Linked DNA regions of Pelodiscus sinensis. The protein of the gene in region 1 purifies or fractionates together with the protein of each later gene. This does not show direct contact. Links are inferred from orthologs where the notes say so. Each region holds a gene or a part of one and is shown on either strand. Other genes may lie near its edges.

The links. Proteins that work in one complex are often made in the same cells at the same time.
Region 2: the proteins of RPA3 (region 1) and RFC1 purify together in Homo sapiens (affinity purification with mass spectrometry; 3 studies listed by BioGRID and IntAct, with this or other methods). This does not show direct contact. The link is inferred for Pelodiscus sinensis from reciprocal best matches to the Homo sapiens genes RPA3 and RFC1.

The regions. Positions count from the first base shown.
Region 1 is NC_134712.1:209,643,538-209,650,956, reverse strand, and holds the start of RPA3 (replication protein A 14 kDa subunit), read right to left. Parts: upstream 3,060-7,419; 5' UTR 3,023-3,059; coding exon 2,924-3,022; intron 1,607-2,923; coding exon 1,532-1,606; intron 1-1,531. UniProt on the Homo sapiens protein: As part of the heterotrimeric replication protein A complex (RPA/RP-A), binds and stabilizes single-stranded DNA intermediates that form during DNA replication or upon DNA stress.
Region 2 is NC_134715.1:93,048,079-93,055,188, reverse strand, and holds the start of RFC1 (replication factor C subunit 1), read right to left. Parts: upstream 3,072-7,110; 5' UTR 3,057-3,071; coding exon 3,006-3,056; intron 2,143-3,005; coding exon 2,014-2,142; intron 1-2,013. UniProt on the Homo sapiens protein: Subunit of the replication factor C (RFC) complex which acts during elongation of primed DNA templates by DNA polymerases delta and epsilon, and is necessary for ATP-dependent loading of proliferating cell nuclear antigen (PCNA) onto primed DNA.

The DNA of each region.
Region 1 (7,419 bases):
ATTTCAGAATATCTGACATTATTCTGAAATGACATAGTGCGCATCTCCACAACAAGCCTTTATTTCAAAATAATGTTGAGCCAAGTTCTTACTCTGACTCCTGGTAACCCTCATTTCACAAGGAGTAAGGGAAGTCGAAGGAATAATGTTCTTCCTTTGACTTCCTGCTGTTTAGACAGCATCAAAAGCAGAATTAAGCTATTTCGACTTAAGCTACACAATTGATCTAGCTGAAGTTGTGTAGCTTAATTTGACATTAGCCCTGCAGTGTAGATGTACCCATAAGGACCCTGCTAAAAGATCAAGGCAGAGCATAGATAATCTTGCAGGAAAATATTATTCCTGCAAGCGAAAGGCAGGATGGAAGCCAATGTAATTTCCACACTAATTCTGTTGATCATTTATTTTGGAAGAATCTAGTTAAGCCACAGAAATAGAATTTACTCACTGTAAACAATATTTCATTGTAAAAATATGGAAGGTCCTTTTGGAATTAAGACACCTTGTGTTCATCAAGGAAAATATACATAACACCTAAACTTTTTAAATTAGGTTTAAAACAAAAAAAAAAACCAACAAAGTAAGTCCTACTGACTGAAACTTAGTGGAATACCTGTTAGATACACGAGGAGTCTTCTAAGAGGTAGATGATGAAAGCTCATCTCAAAGACAGTGAGCATAGACTGTACAGTAGATTCTAGTAAAGATTAAATATACTAATGCCCAAAGTTGACAAGCAGGCGAGAAAAAGGTGAGTAAGGGAAAAGTAAAAGTAGTAATAAATTAGAATACATTATGCAGGAAAATTAGTAAAAGTGCAAATGGCTACAGTGGGACAATTCAGAGAAGCCAGTCAGTAGTGCGGCTGAGAGAGAAACCAGACTTCTGAACAGAATTCAGACAGATGAATGAACCCAATACAAATTTGTTAATTTCACTACGAGCGGGGGTGGGGGCAGGGTGGGTGAGGCTTGGTCAAGGGGACAGTTTAAGTGAGGAAGAGGCAGCATGGGGAGAAATATAGTTTAGAATGGGAGAGTTACAAAGGAGGAGAACGAAGCCAACAAGAGGAATTGACAAAAGCTAAACAAAACTAAGCCCAAATAAAACAATAAAACACACACACACACACACACACACACCTCAACACAAAAAAAGCAAAGGTTTCCAAGAAAGAGTAGGCTCCTGAAGTCTAGGGATTCTCAAACTTTATTGTACTGACCCTGTTCTGACAACAAATTATTTCATGGCCCTAAGAGGGCGGACTGAAGCCTGAGGCCACTTAAGACAAATTGCCTGGGTGCAGGGCCTCACTGCTCTGGGGAGCCAAAGCTAAAACTTAAGGGCTTCAGCCCCATGCAGGTCTTGCAATCTGAGTCCCACTGCCTTCGGGACTGGTCACCATATTGAAAGGGAGTCTGGATGCAGAGTTTGAGAGCCACTGGCTTTAGGTATTTATTGACCTTTCAGTACATGATCAGGAAGAGGGGACTGACACAAAGGTAACTTCCAAAATGACACTTAAACTTACAGGCTCAGTCAGTTCAACAGTTGTATTTTTTCCTTCTCCATCCGAAAGAATGAAAAGTTTCCCAGATGGGTGAATCTAGAAAGAGATTATTAAGTCCTTAATACATAACTTCAAACTATCAAAGCAAATTTCTTCTGAATTATAACTTGACTCTGAACTGCATGAGATACTTTTACTCTTCTCATGTATGTAAACTGAATTATTCCTTATCAGCCTAAATATTTAAGATAACATTCTTTATTTTTTCCAACTCCTTCCTATCTGTTAGAATGGCTACTTAAAAAAGCATCACTTGTTTTAGCTAATTGCAGGCTCTGTCTACATCAGTGGTCTCCAACCTTTTTAAGCATGAGATCACTTTTTTAATTTAAATGCAATTTAGGATCTACCTCAAACCCAAATACCCTTGTCTCTCCTTCTAGACCCCCACCTCTGCTCACTCTATCCTCCCTCCCCCATCCTTCCTCCCTTTCCCCAGGCAGAGGGTTGGGGGTGTAGGCTCTGGTCTTGGGTTAAGGGATTTGGAGTGTGAGAGGGGCTCTGAGCTAAGCCTGGGGCAGGGAGCTGAAGTGCAAGAGGGGGTTTATGACTGGGGCAGAGGTTCAGGATGCAGGCTCCAGCTGGACACTGATTACCAGAGTGGTGCTTTACACTCCTTTAACATGGCTATTCTCTAAAGACAGGTTTCACACAACACCATGGGTAAAAAATTGTGACAAAATTAAGCCTAGCACATTCAACCATAATGCTGAAAGCAAACAAGCCACAGGGAAAGACTCATTTGTGCAGATAGAGTGAGGAAAACAGTCTATCTATTTGGCTCTACTTGCCAGGTGCAAGGGATGAGACTGTGTAAATACTGTGGCATTAGGCAAATATAAACTCCCTGCAACTCATTTTTAAGGATTCATTGGATCCAAATGCGCTGGTGTCCCCGACCTATGATAGCATCAGCACCTGGCGGAGGCAGCGTAGACAGCCAGCAAGCACCCAATGCAGACCGCAGCAGACCCCAGGAGGCTGGAGCTGCCCTGGGCGGGGACACCGGGGTAGAAATGCGGAGCGGAGCTACTCTGGGCGCTGGGTCTGACACACCTCGGGCCAGGACCCTTGGTAGAGCCTGGCCCGGTGCTGCCGGGCTCCAGAGAGCAGCTCCCCAGCAAGGGCTGTGAGGGAACCCAAAGCCGCCCGCTGCGAGCCAGGGGAGCCGCGCAGCCCGGGGCCACATGCTGCTCTCCCGCGGCGGCCGATAGCCCCGCAGCTCCTGGACCTCGGCACCGCGCCCCGGGGACACCCAGGGAGGCAGCGGGCTCCAGACCGTCCGGCCTGGGGAGTGAGAGGAAGCAGCCAGCGGCGGGGACAGGACCTGGCCGGAGTCGGGGGTCCCGCTACCTTCTCCACGCGGCCCACGAAGCAGACGGGCTGCCCGAGATGCTGCGCTAAGTGGCTGGTGCCGATGCGCGGCCGCGGCCCCTCGTGCACGTCCCCCATGTGGAGCGGCGCCCTCACGCGCTCCTCGGATGGCCACGGCAGCGCCCCTAGAACGGCGGGAAAGCAGCACTTCCGGCCCCCGAGCCCCGCAGTCACCCTGGCAACATCGGCGGCTTCGAGGCGGGTCTTCCTCCCAGGCAGCCAATCGAACGGGACAAAATGCGGTACCGGTGCCCTGCTGACGCTGACGTAGTCAAACGGTGTTTCTTACTGCGTACGGAACCGAGGGCGCTGCCAGTGCACCGGCCTCACTGGGGAGTGGCGGCCGCTGGGAGAGCGATCCCGGTAGCGCGAGCGGCGGGGTCTGGCAGCGCCGAGGCTCGGTCGGGGAGAGCGGCTGCGCGGTGAGTGAGCGGCGCGGGCTGAGCCTCCCTGTCGCAGTCCCCGGCTCTGCGGGGGGGGCTCTGTATCTCCCCGCCCGGAGCGCTGACGGCGGGGCTGCCCCGTCCCTAACTTGCCCCTTCTGAGCGGAGCCCTGGCGCGGACAGGCCGTGAGCCCCTGTCGGTGGAGAAGGGCTGTGCGAGGCCGCTTGCTCCTTGGCTGCGCTTAGCGCTCATGCTTTAAGGTAAGGTGACTGCAGTCGCTCAGGGGTGTGAATAAGCCCGCGCCGGGCGGTGTGATTATGCCGGGATAAGCAGCCGCTATAACTCCACTTTTTTTGGGGAACGTATCTTGGACTTGCATCGAGGATGGGCTGTACCTCAGTTCCACTCTGGGTCATTCATGCTTAAATTTGACACTTTACCAATGGACCTTAACAAAGATGCTAACTACCTTACCCGTTACAAAGCTAGCGTTCCCAATTATCACCCCAATAGTCTCATACACTAACCTCCTCCCAACCCCCCCTTCTAAAATCTTATTTGTCAATTTTATATTTGTTCACTTTTTTTTAATTGTATCCCTTTGGTATATATGGTCATGCTAATTTTCTTCCACAATTTGATCTGAGGAAGTGGGTCTGGCCCACGAAAGCTCATCACCTAATAAACCATCTTGTTAGTCTTTAACGTGCTGCATAGCCCTGTCTTTTGTTTCTGGGTCACCTGTAACTCTTTCAAGGCTGGTAATCTTCTGGCCTCTGCTGTCTGTCCTCTGGAAGCAGCAATCAGCTCTAGGACCTGTTGGAGCCTCAGCCCAGCTGGCTTGTGGGTCCTAGTACTTCAGGGAGAATACCTAAGGAACCTGCAGCACATATCTACTCTTGTTGGAGCTAGAGCATGCCTAGCAGGAGTGAGGCAGTGTGGCTTCCTCAGCTGGCTAAGTGGTTAATCTTTCTGACCAGTGTGGAGTAGGTACACCCTGTCACAATATTCTTTGTTCTTAGTGTACTTAAACTTTCTGAGAGTCTTTGTGAAGGACCTTCACTAAAGACCAGAGCGGTGCCACTCAGAACGGTGTGGGGCAGCCACCTCAGGCTCCATGGTTTGGGGAGGTCCCGCAGTGCTTCCTCAACTGTCCTATGGATGTGGCCCAGGATATTACTGGAGGGGCCGTGCATGGGGTGGCAGCAGGGGTCCGGTCAAAATAAAATAATTGAAGCTGCAGTGGATGGGTCAAACAGGCTTCTGCTTCTGTGTATTGGGTTGGAAAGTGTGGGAGCTGCTAGGAGGGAGTACACATAGAAAGTCATAATTATCACTTTCAGGGATGATAACCCAAAACTTTTTGGGGGGTTCGGGGCTGCTGACTAGGGATGTTAAATTTAGTTTAATCAACTAGTTGATGGATTTTCCGTTGATTAGTCAATGAGCTGGGGAGCCGCAACGGGGTTAGCTCCTGGGGCTGAGAGCTAACCCTGCTGCGATTCTGCTTTTTAAATGTATTAAGAGTCTGCAAGCTCTTAATACATTTAAAAGGCTGAAACACAGTGTGTGTGGGGGGGGGGGGCGGGGGGAGGCAGGCATGCCAACTGATTCCTGGCTTGCACAGGGTCACCCTCTGCTGCACACCAGCCTTAAATGTAAAAAGGCTAGAGCACAGCAGGGGACCCAGTGTGAGCCGGAAATCAGCTGTCCTGACTTGTGCCAGGTCCTCCCAGCTGCACTACTGATTTTTAAATGTATTAAGAGCTGTCAGGGGCTCATTTAAAAAAGAGAGGCACAGCTCTGGGATTGGGTGCGAGCAGGGAATCAGTTGATTCCTGGCTTGCGCCCCTGCCTCTCCTGTTGTCCACGGAGATGGTGCTGGGGGGAACAGTCTTTTAAGCCGGCTCCCCCCAGCTCCAGCTCCCCCTACCTTGCTGCCTCTGATAGAGGAAGCAGAAAGGGGGGAAGCAACTAGTCGAGAGACTAGATGACTATCGGATAAGCAAGAGATTATCAGGTAGTCGACTAGTCACTTATATCTCTACCACTGACCCATAGAAAAATCAGTTGGGGAGGAACGCACGCAAATGAGAAGCAAAAACAAAACAGTAAACCAAGTCCTCCCTGACGTGGCCCCTCAATTGAGGAGAAAAACACTCCCCTCGTGCACCAGAGCCATGCTAATAAATTTTGTGTGCTCCAACCCTGCAGTAGGAAAGCAGAGCTGAGGGGCTGGAGTGCCAACATGGGCTCCCCAATGCTGAGGGGGAGGGACCATTAGCCCCATGGGTCGTATCCAAGCAAGCCCATGGCTGCATCCAGCTCCTGGGCCTCAGGTTCCCCACCCATACAATATGTAATAAAGTAAATAAAAATACTGTCTAGTCAGTAACATTTCTCTTAGAACTGCATTTACCAAACTATGGGCCATGGCCCAGTACCGGGCCGCGGGGGAAAAAAAATACCAGGCCTCAGTGTAGCTGCCAGGAGGGGAGCAGGGCAGGGTGGGCTGGGAGGAGGTAGGGGTGTGTGTGTGTGGGGGGGGGGGGAAACCTGCTGCCGGGAAGCAGGGTTGGGACAGCAGGGCTGTCCAGCGGAGGTCAGGGCAGGCGGGCGGCCGGATGGTGGAAGCAGGGTTTGGGGCAGCAGGGCTGTCTGGCGGAGATCAGGGCAGGCGGGTGGCCAGCGGAAGCAGGGTTGGGGGCAGTGGGGCTGTCCCGCGGTGATGGGGGGTGGGCAGCGGAACCAGGGCTTGCCGGGGGGAAGGGGGGAGATGGCTGGGGGAGATCGGGAGAACCAGCCACCAGAAGCAGGGCTGGACAGGGCCAGTGGGGCTGGTTGGGGGGGGGGGGGGGGAACCGGCCTCCGGAAGCAGGGCTGGACGGGGGAGATAGAGAGAAGATGAGGCGTTGGGGAGCAAATTGGCCGGCGGGAAGTGGGACTGACCCGGGCACATGAGTGTGTCCAGCCCCAGTAATTCCGATTTGCCCCCACCCCGCCCACATACCCTCCCTCAAGTAGTTGCGAACTGCCTGGCTGGTAGACACACTCACGCAGCGTGAGCACATCTACCAGCCAGGCAGTTCGCAGCTATGGACTGATATACCTAATAATAATAAAACTTACCTAATTAGAAAATACCAGACATTTTATATGTCTGGTATTTTCTCAATTTGGTTCCCAGACAGAACCCTCAAATACCGAGCTGTCTGGTACAAAACTGGACATCTGGCAACCCTACCCCTCCTTGCACCCTCCCTCCTAAGCAGATACCTTCCCACCAATCTGCTTCTGCTCCCGCCTCCTGGCGTGCCCATGTGGCGCCGGGTCCCCTAAACCCTGGCCCAGGCTGGGCGGAGGATACAATTGGGTGAAACACTGAACATTTATTCATTTTTAATTCTTTTTTTATATGCGTTTATATTTTTGGACTGCAAAAAACAGTACAGGCAGTCCCCGGGTTACGTACAAGATAGGGACTGTAGGTTTGTTCTTAAGTTGAATTTGTATGTAAGTCGGAACTGGTACATATTGTAGGGGGAAACTCTAGCCAAACATTTCTCCAGAGCTCAGTTTTATTCTCCCACACCTCACTTCTCTCAGTTCTTTATTCTCAAGCTGAGGTGTCTGCTGAGAAGAGCCGCTCCACGTCTCCCTGGTCTGCTGGTGGGGGGGGGGGGGGCGCTAGCTTTGCGTCTCCCTGGTCTGCTGGGGGGAAGCAGCTAGTGCGGGGGTTGCCTCACCCCGTTTGTAAGTAGGGATCCGATGTAAGTCGGATCCATGTAACCCGGGGACTGCCTGTACTGAAAAAAAAAACAAGTTCCAACTAAAGTAAAACGTTTGGGGGAAACTGATCTAGCCAGCTATCTATCCATCTTATGGTCCGTTTGTCCAATCTGTATTCCCTTAACTTGCTGGCAAGAATATTGTGGGTGACCGTATCAAAAGCTTTGCTAACACTGGCACTGGGGGCTTTAGGAGGACCAGAAACAACTTATTTGAATATTCATCATTTGCTTAATGAATATGCAAACAAATGTTACCAGTCCTCCAAAAGCTCGTGAATGGATTTATTGGTCCCCGTGTCA
Region 2 (7,110 bases), on another chromosome or scaffold:
ATAAAACCATCTGGGCACCTGCAGAAATAAATGTACTAGCTAATATATTATTTGTTTGCTCCCTCTTTTTTTAACTATCATAACAAATAGATCTGTGATACCATCTAGTCTAGTTGCCAGTCTGATAGTGGCCAATCCCATACACACTTAAATGGAAGTTGTAAAAAATATTGTAACAAACAACTGTACTGTCATCTGCCTAAATGGGAGCTTTCTTCCTGAACCAGACAAACTGGTGGTTGTCTTCTGACTGACTAGGGACGAATCAGTTCCTGTTAATGGTTAAACTCCCACACAGCCAGGAGCCCTTGGGGCCAGGGTGCCCATTAAACATGTAACTGATGGAACTGTCATCAGCTACACAGTATTTTTTAACCCTTTTTATACCCCTGGGTAGAATGTAGTCATTTATAACACTTGCGAAAATATATTATTCCTATCTAATGTAAATGTATATGTATCTATTATTCATAGGAAATGTTCAATTCTATTTTGAAATCTACTAAGCATTACACTTGTGAAACCCCTTGTCAGGCCAAGACTTTAACAGAGGTTAAAAAAGGACTACATACATTCATGCAGGATAGATCATGTCTATTAGCTAGAATGGCAGGGATGCTGTCCCTGGCCTTTTTTTGTCAGGGCTAGGAATGGGTGATGGGATGGATCACCTGATGATTACCTTTTCCATTCATCCCCTCTAGAGCACTGAAAGACAGGAAACTGGGCTAGATGTACTACTGGGTCTGACCAAGATGTCCATTCTTACGTACCGTAATTACGTTTTCAGTTCTACAAATTAACTAGGGGTTGTATAAGGAAATTCTTTCTTACCAGTTTTAAATTTGTTGCACAGCTCCTTGTTCTTGAGTTATGAGGGTAAAGAGATGTACCAAATTCACCTTTTCTATACAATTTATTATTTTGTATCCTTATCTTCCCTCTCACTAGCGGTCTCTGAGCTAAAACAGTGAATCTTTTCAATCTCTCCTAATTCAGAAATCTTTCCATGCCTCTATTCATTTTTATCACTTGCCTCTGAACTCCCCGCCCACTTTGTTATATCCTTTTGAGACAGAGTTGCATTCTGATTATGCTTTCTACTCACATTAATTACCCTAATGTTAACAATATCCCATTACATACTTTGATTCTGAGCCTATAATGAGCTTCATGTAGGTAGTGCCCTGTACAAAAGTGACAATCTTTTTTCCCCAGGTATCAGACAATCGCAAAAATAGTTTGGAAGCTCAAGAATGGCAGCTTATCTTAAAAATACACCCTACAGACAGCAATATAAGTTATATCAAGGGTGCCTGAGGATGTAAACACAATAAATAAATAGGCATTTGCCTGAACAGAGCTCCTTACATAATCAGGACCTTACCAGAATTTGCTTATATATTTCATAGGATTGTTTCCATGACAGTATCAGAATCTTCCCCGCCCCCCGCAGTACATGGAAAACTAAGTTTTTTTATCCTATAAGAAAAGGATGTTACAAGAAGATTGGGATGCAGAAACAGAAGTAACTTCTGCTATAACTTAAATCCAACCTAGAAAATAGTTCTAAGACTAGAGAACTGTGTTTGCTCAGTTTTATTAGCCAAATTTGATTTAGGAAACATATTTCTCCTTTTCCACTTCTCATTGCCACACAAGACATAAACCCCAGCCTAAATGCTCTTCAGAAAGCAGAAATACTGACTACTATGGAAGACTATGTTATTATAGACAACATTCCAGAGTACCATATTAAAACAGACAACATTCCAGAGTACCATATTAAAACATACAAGTAAAAATGTTCCCCTGACTGTAAAGACCAATTGGAATTTTGACTACAGAGAAATTACTCAAACATTTATCAGTTGCTTGTGAGAAACCACTGAAAATAACATTTAAACCAAGAACAAGTTGTAAGGAAAGAGCCACAGACTTGAGCAGTCCCATAGCACAGCAACATTCAAATCCAAGCCCAGAATAGCATGCAGCTGAGGAAAACAAACTGACCTTGATTTCCTTGGTTTTCTTCTTCCTATTGGATGTATCTTCTCCATTTTTGGTTTTCTCTGACTTTTTCACTGTCTCACCTTCACGTTTCTTGCCAGTAGATACAACCTCAAAGAATTTTCTGATATCCTAATAAAACGGGGGGAGGGGAGAGAGGGTTAAAAAGGCAACATACAATACTTCAACCTTTCCCTCCACAAAAGAGCAAGATAATTTTTTTTTTAAAAGCAAATTACTCTCTCAGCAACTCTTCTGCTATTCACTGATCTAGAAGTTCGTTTTAATACCTGAAGAACTGAATGTATTCCTGTTTATAGGACTTGCAGATGCAGAGCAACCTTTGTTCAGTTGAGGCACCCATGGCAGCAGCTTTCCTTTCCACTACCGATCATTTCAAGCGCCCACTTTTCCCTTAGTGGAATACCTCTGCCAGCCATTATATTGCAATGTATAACAAAGAGTCACATCATTAACAGGACAGAGGATTAACAAACAGTTGCAAGTAGCACCAAAATATTCAGTAAACTCTGACAAGTATAACCCAGAGTCTTTTATAGATCAAATGAATAACCTACCTATCTGTAGGATAGAACCTAACAGATGAAACTCCTCAGCAAAACTCATGAATAACTTCAGGATATTGAACAATAGCACCCTCCACCTTTTCACAATCTGGGAGAAATTGGTCATTTCACCATGGCTTTAGCATTAGCAAAGTGTTTGGTATAGCTCTCCAGCAAGCAAGTATCTGATCATTTTTCTCAAGTTCAACAATGTTAATCAACCCACAGATCTCAAAGGGATAACATACTGACGATATTTCCTACCACTATAAGAACCAAAAAAGTGTTCTACCTGCAGAAATAAAAGGTTTGAACCTTAGGAATATCTTGTATGAGCACATAGCTTTCTTAAAAACATAGACCCAGCATCTTTTAAAAGCCCTTAGTATTACTATTTACTTTAAAAAAGAATCATCTAGTTTGTTATACCTGTTTAACATCATTAACTCCAGGTATTGCATCCATTGTAATGGCAACCATTATAGGAGCAGCATAGAATCATTTGGTCTGAATTTATAGCAGGTGGAGGGTGTGGCCTTTGACTATATTCTACCCAGGTAACACCACTGTCTAATTTACCCCCTCTAGAGTTCACCTTAGTTTCCAATGAGTACTAAGACCAATAGTATTTTCTTATGAACTGTGAGTAATGTTAGTTTTGATTTTTAAGTATTGGTCATGCTGTTAATATTTCTGCATATTTTCACAAGCTTGTAGAGCCACTAAGACTTATTCTAGATAAGTTTGATATGAAAGTATACTACTTTGGCTCCTTTGTGAGGAGGAGTCAGAAGACAAAATAGAACATGTGATTTGTTAAGTAAGAATTAGCCTTTTTTTTTTTCTGATAAAGCCTGTAATTTATTTCTCAGGGTTTGAATGGTAGTCTTGTTTTAGAAGTTTTACTTTAATGAAAACTTAAACTTGTTAGATTTCAATTACAATTAAGATGTTGACTCTTTAAGAAGATGTTTTTGGACTGAAGTAAACGGGACTATTTCCATAAGGATCTCCTCATGTGTACCTCCATAAAGGGTTGAGACCTAAATAATTAGTACCACTCTATGGCTGTGTCTACATTGGCATGATCTTGCACAAAAGTGGCCGCTTTTGTGCCAAAACTTGCTGCCTGTCTACACTGGCCACTAGTTCTTGCGCAAGAACACTGACATCTTAATGTATGAAATCAGTGCTTCTTGCGCAAGAACTATGATGCTCCTGCTCAGGAATAAGCCCTCTTGCGCAACTGCTCTTGCGCAAGAGGCCAGTGTAGACAGGCAACATGAATTTCTTGCACAAGAAAGCCCTATGGTTAAAATGGCTATTAGAGCTTTCTTGCGCAAGAGAGCATCTACACTGGCACGGATGCTCTTGCGCAAAAGCACATCTCTTGCACAAAGGCATATGCCAGTGTAGACACTCTCTTCTGGAAGAGTTTTTGCACAAGAACTCTTCCGCAAAAGAATTCTTGTGCAAAATCATGCCAATGTAGACGTAGCCTATTAGTGGTACTTAGCTATCTTGCCACAAGGGTAATAATGGTAATTTACAAGTTATGAATTTTTACTGTAATTGGATAGTTCTAAAATCTAAAGGCATGCTGTCAACCTCAAACAATGACTGAAGTAGTTTCAAGCACTGCATCTTCCTCTGAATCACTATCACCAATTTTACAGTCTTGTTGATATGTGAAAAATCCACCTACACAAAAAACTTATTACAATGCTGCCTGGGACCTTTGGGTTCAGCCATAATATATTCACTTCTACTACAAACTAATTAGGAGGAAGACATTTCATTTTCACTTTTAAATATCAGTCCTCATAGGTGTGAGTTTAAGTTAGTTATATCCTTTTAGTTTAAATGTAAAGTTATGTTGGAATAGTTAATGACCTGTTAATGCAGTGGTCACCAACCAGTAGAACAGGATCTACTGGTAAATCTTGGAGCCTCTGACAGGTGATCCTGACTGGTTTGGCCAAGAGGCTATCAAGTGCGGGCACTTCAGCTGCCCCTCCCCCTACTGCTGTGCACCTCTTGCCCTTTGCCTTGGAGCTGCCTCCACCCACCCCTAGGAGCTTCCTGATTGCTGTGAAGTGCAGGGCAGGGGAGGGAGAGCAGGAGTGCTGATGTCAAGGTGCCCCCTCTCCCACTGTATATCCTATCTCCATAGAGCAGAAAGGGGACACAACATGACTAAGTTTGCTGACTGCTTTTGTGAGTGGTACAGGGCTAGGGCAGGGGTGAGCCTACCTTAGCCTCACTGCACCACCACCCAGGAGCCACCTGAGGTAAGCAGTGCCCAGTTGGAGCCCACATTCTGAAACACTAACCCAGTCATGAACCCCCTCATACACACAGGCCCCTGCCCTGGCCCCAAGCACCCCTGCATCCAAACACCGTCCCAGAGCCTACACCTAGAACCCCCTCTGGCATCCTATTGCCTGCCCCAAGCTCAGCTCAGAGCCCCTCTCACTCCAAATCCCTTGATCCAAGACCAGAGCCTGTACCCCAAGCCTCTGCCCCAGTATGGTGAAAGTGAGAGAGAATGGGGGAGGGATGGAGTGAGCAGGTGAAAGGCTTTGGAGAAGGGGGGGTCACACTGTGGTCAGGCAGGACCCCAGCACTGGCCAGACCACAGCAGCCCCAGAGCCATACCGCACCACCATGCCTGTCAGCTGTCCCAGTAAGTCCTTCCATCCTGTCTGCCCTGCCCCCAACAGTTAATTGGTTAAACAATACAATTTTCTTCATCTAACCAATTAACTATTTTGAGGGACATTTACATCCCTGACTCTAGTAATGCATTGATGCCAGTACAGAGGTGCCCTAAGCAAAGTCTACAAAAGACCTAAGCTACAATCCATTGGGGTCATCTTTAGTACATAAGTGTGGCTCAGTAATGCTAATGATTTTTAATAGACAAGAGAAAATGGATTATTTGTCTTGAATGGCTGGGTAAGTGTTCCTGTTTCCATTACTGGTGAACTCAAACAAGCATCTTCTATTCATCCATCAAGCACTGTGCATGCTAATACTACCACTTGTCTTTTGATAATAACCTTATGACTATACTATGCAGTATCTGTAGGCATGTAACTTCAAAATTTGTGTCTGTGTTAACACTATGTTCCATTCTCTTGCTGCAAATCATCTCGATCCCCATATCAAGGCAGAAGAAGCTTTCTTCAATTGTTTAAAATTAGTTTCTCAGCAAATTGCCAAAGCTTCAAGATAATAGCACATAAGCCATCTGAACACACTTTCTGAATAAAGTTAGATTTGAGTGCTTAATTTACCTTAAAGCTACTAAAATAAAAGACTGTACATGTCCTTCAAGTGTCTTCTGTTTACTATTTTCAGTATTGCTATATTATCCTGCAAACTCCTCAGACATCCCATTGTTTCCAGAGGGAAAAAATAATCTTGTTAAACAACTGGATTGTAGTAGGTGGTGCATCCAAAATTGTTAGACTAAAAAGGACATCACTATGTATGGATAAAGCTCTTACATTATATGAAGCACAAAATTACACTTTCTTCATGCCATATCTATCTGTGAATAGCAAAAAAAATAAAAAAAAATAGTCCTGGTCTATACTAGACCAGGCAGCTCAGTTTAAAGTAAACAACTCCAGCTACACAAAATGCATAGCTGGAGTCGGCTTACCTTAAGCCGAGCCATGGTGGCTAAGGATGTTAAGGACTAGCTGACTATCTGATAAAAGAAAATGCTTATCGGCCAGTCAGTCAACTAGTCGATTCCGCCCCCACCTTGCTGCCTCTATCAAACAGAGGCGGTAAGGGGGCGGGGAAGAGAAGCGGTATTTCAAAGTGGCAGCGCTGCACAGCTGAGCTAGGGATCAACTGTGCGGCACTGCTGTTTTGAAATCCCAAAACATTTCAAAGGGGCAGTAGCCCCACAACTCAGCTGTGCGGCGTTGCCCCTTTAAAATGCCACATGGATCCCGGGATCAGCTGGGGAGTCTCCAGCTGACCCCAGGCTCCACGGTGCTGTCCCTTTGAAACACCAATGCAGCCATTTTAAAGGGACAGCACCGCACAGCTGACCCAGGTTCTGGGGAAATGCTGCACAGAACCGGGGGTCAGCTGAGAAGATCCCAGCTGACCCCAGGCTCCATGGCGCTGCTCCTTTGAAACACGAAGGCAGCGTTTCAAAGGGGCAGCCGCCACACAGCTAAGCCCAGGATCAGCTTTGAGGCAGTTGCCCCTTTGAAACCAGCGGCATTTCAGCAGAACCCGGGGTCAGCTGGGGAGTCTTGTACATTTCAAAGCAGGCACACCCCAGTGCAGCCCAGAGTCAGCGGGACTTCCCACTGGCCCAGCCTGCATGCAAAGTTCCGCATTCCTCCTTTGAAATGTACAAGAGCCCCAGCTGGAGCTCTTGTACATTTCAAAGGACAAATGTGGAAGTGCCTATCTACTAGTTGAGTAGTCAATGGAAATTCCATGGACTAGTCAATTAACCACAATTCACCATCCTTAACGGTGGCATCCTCACACAGCGGGAGAC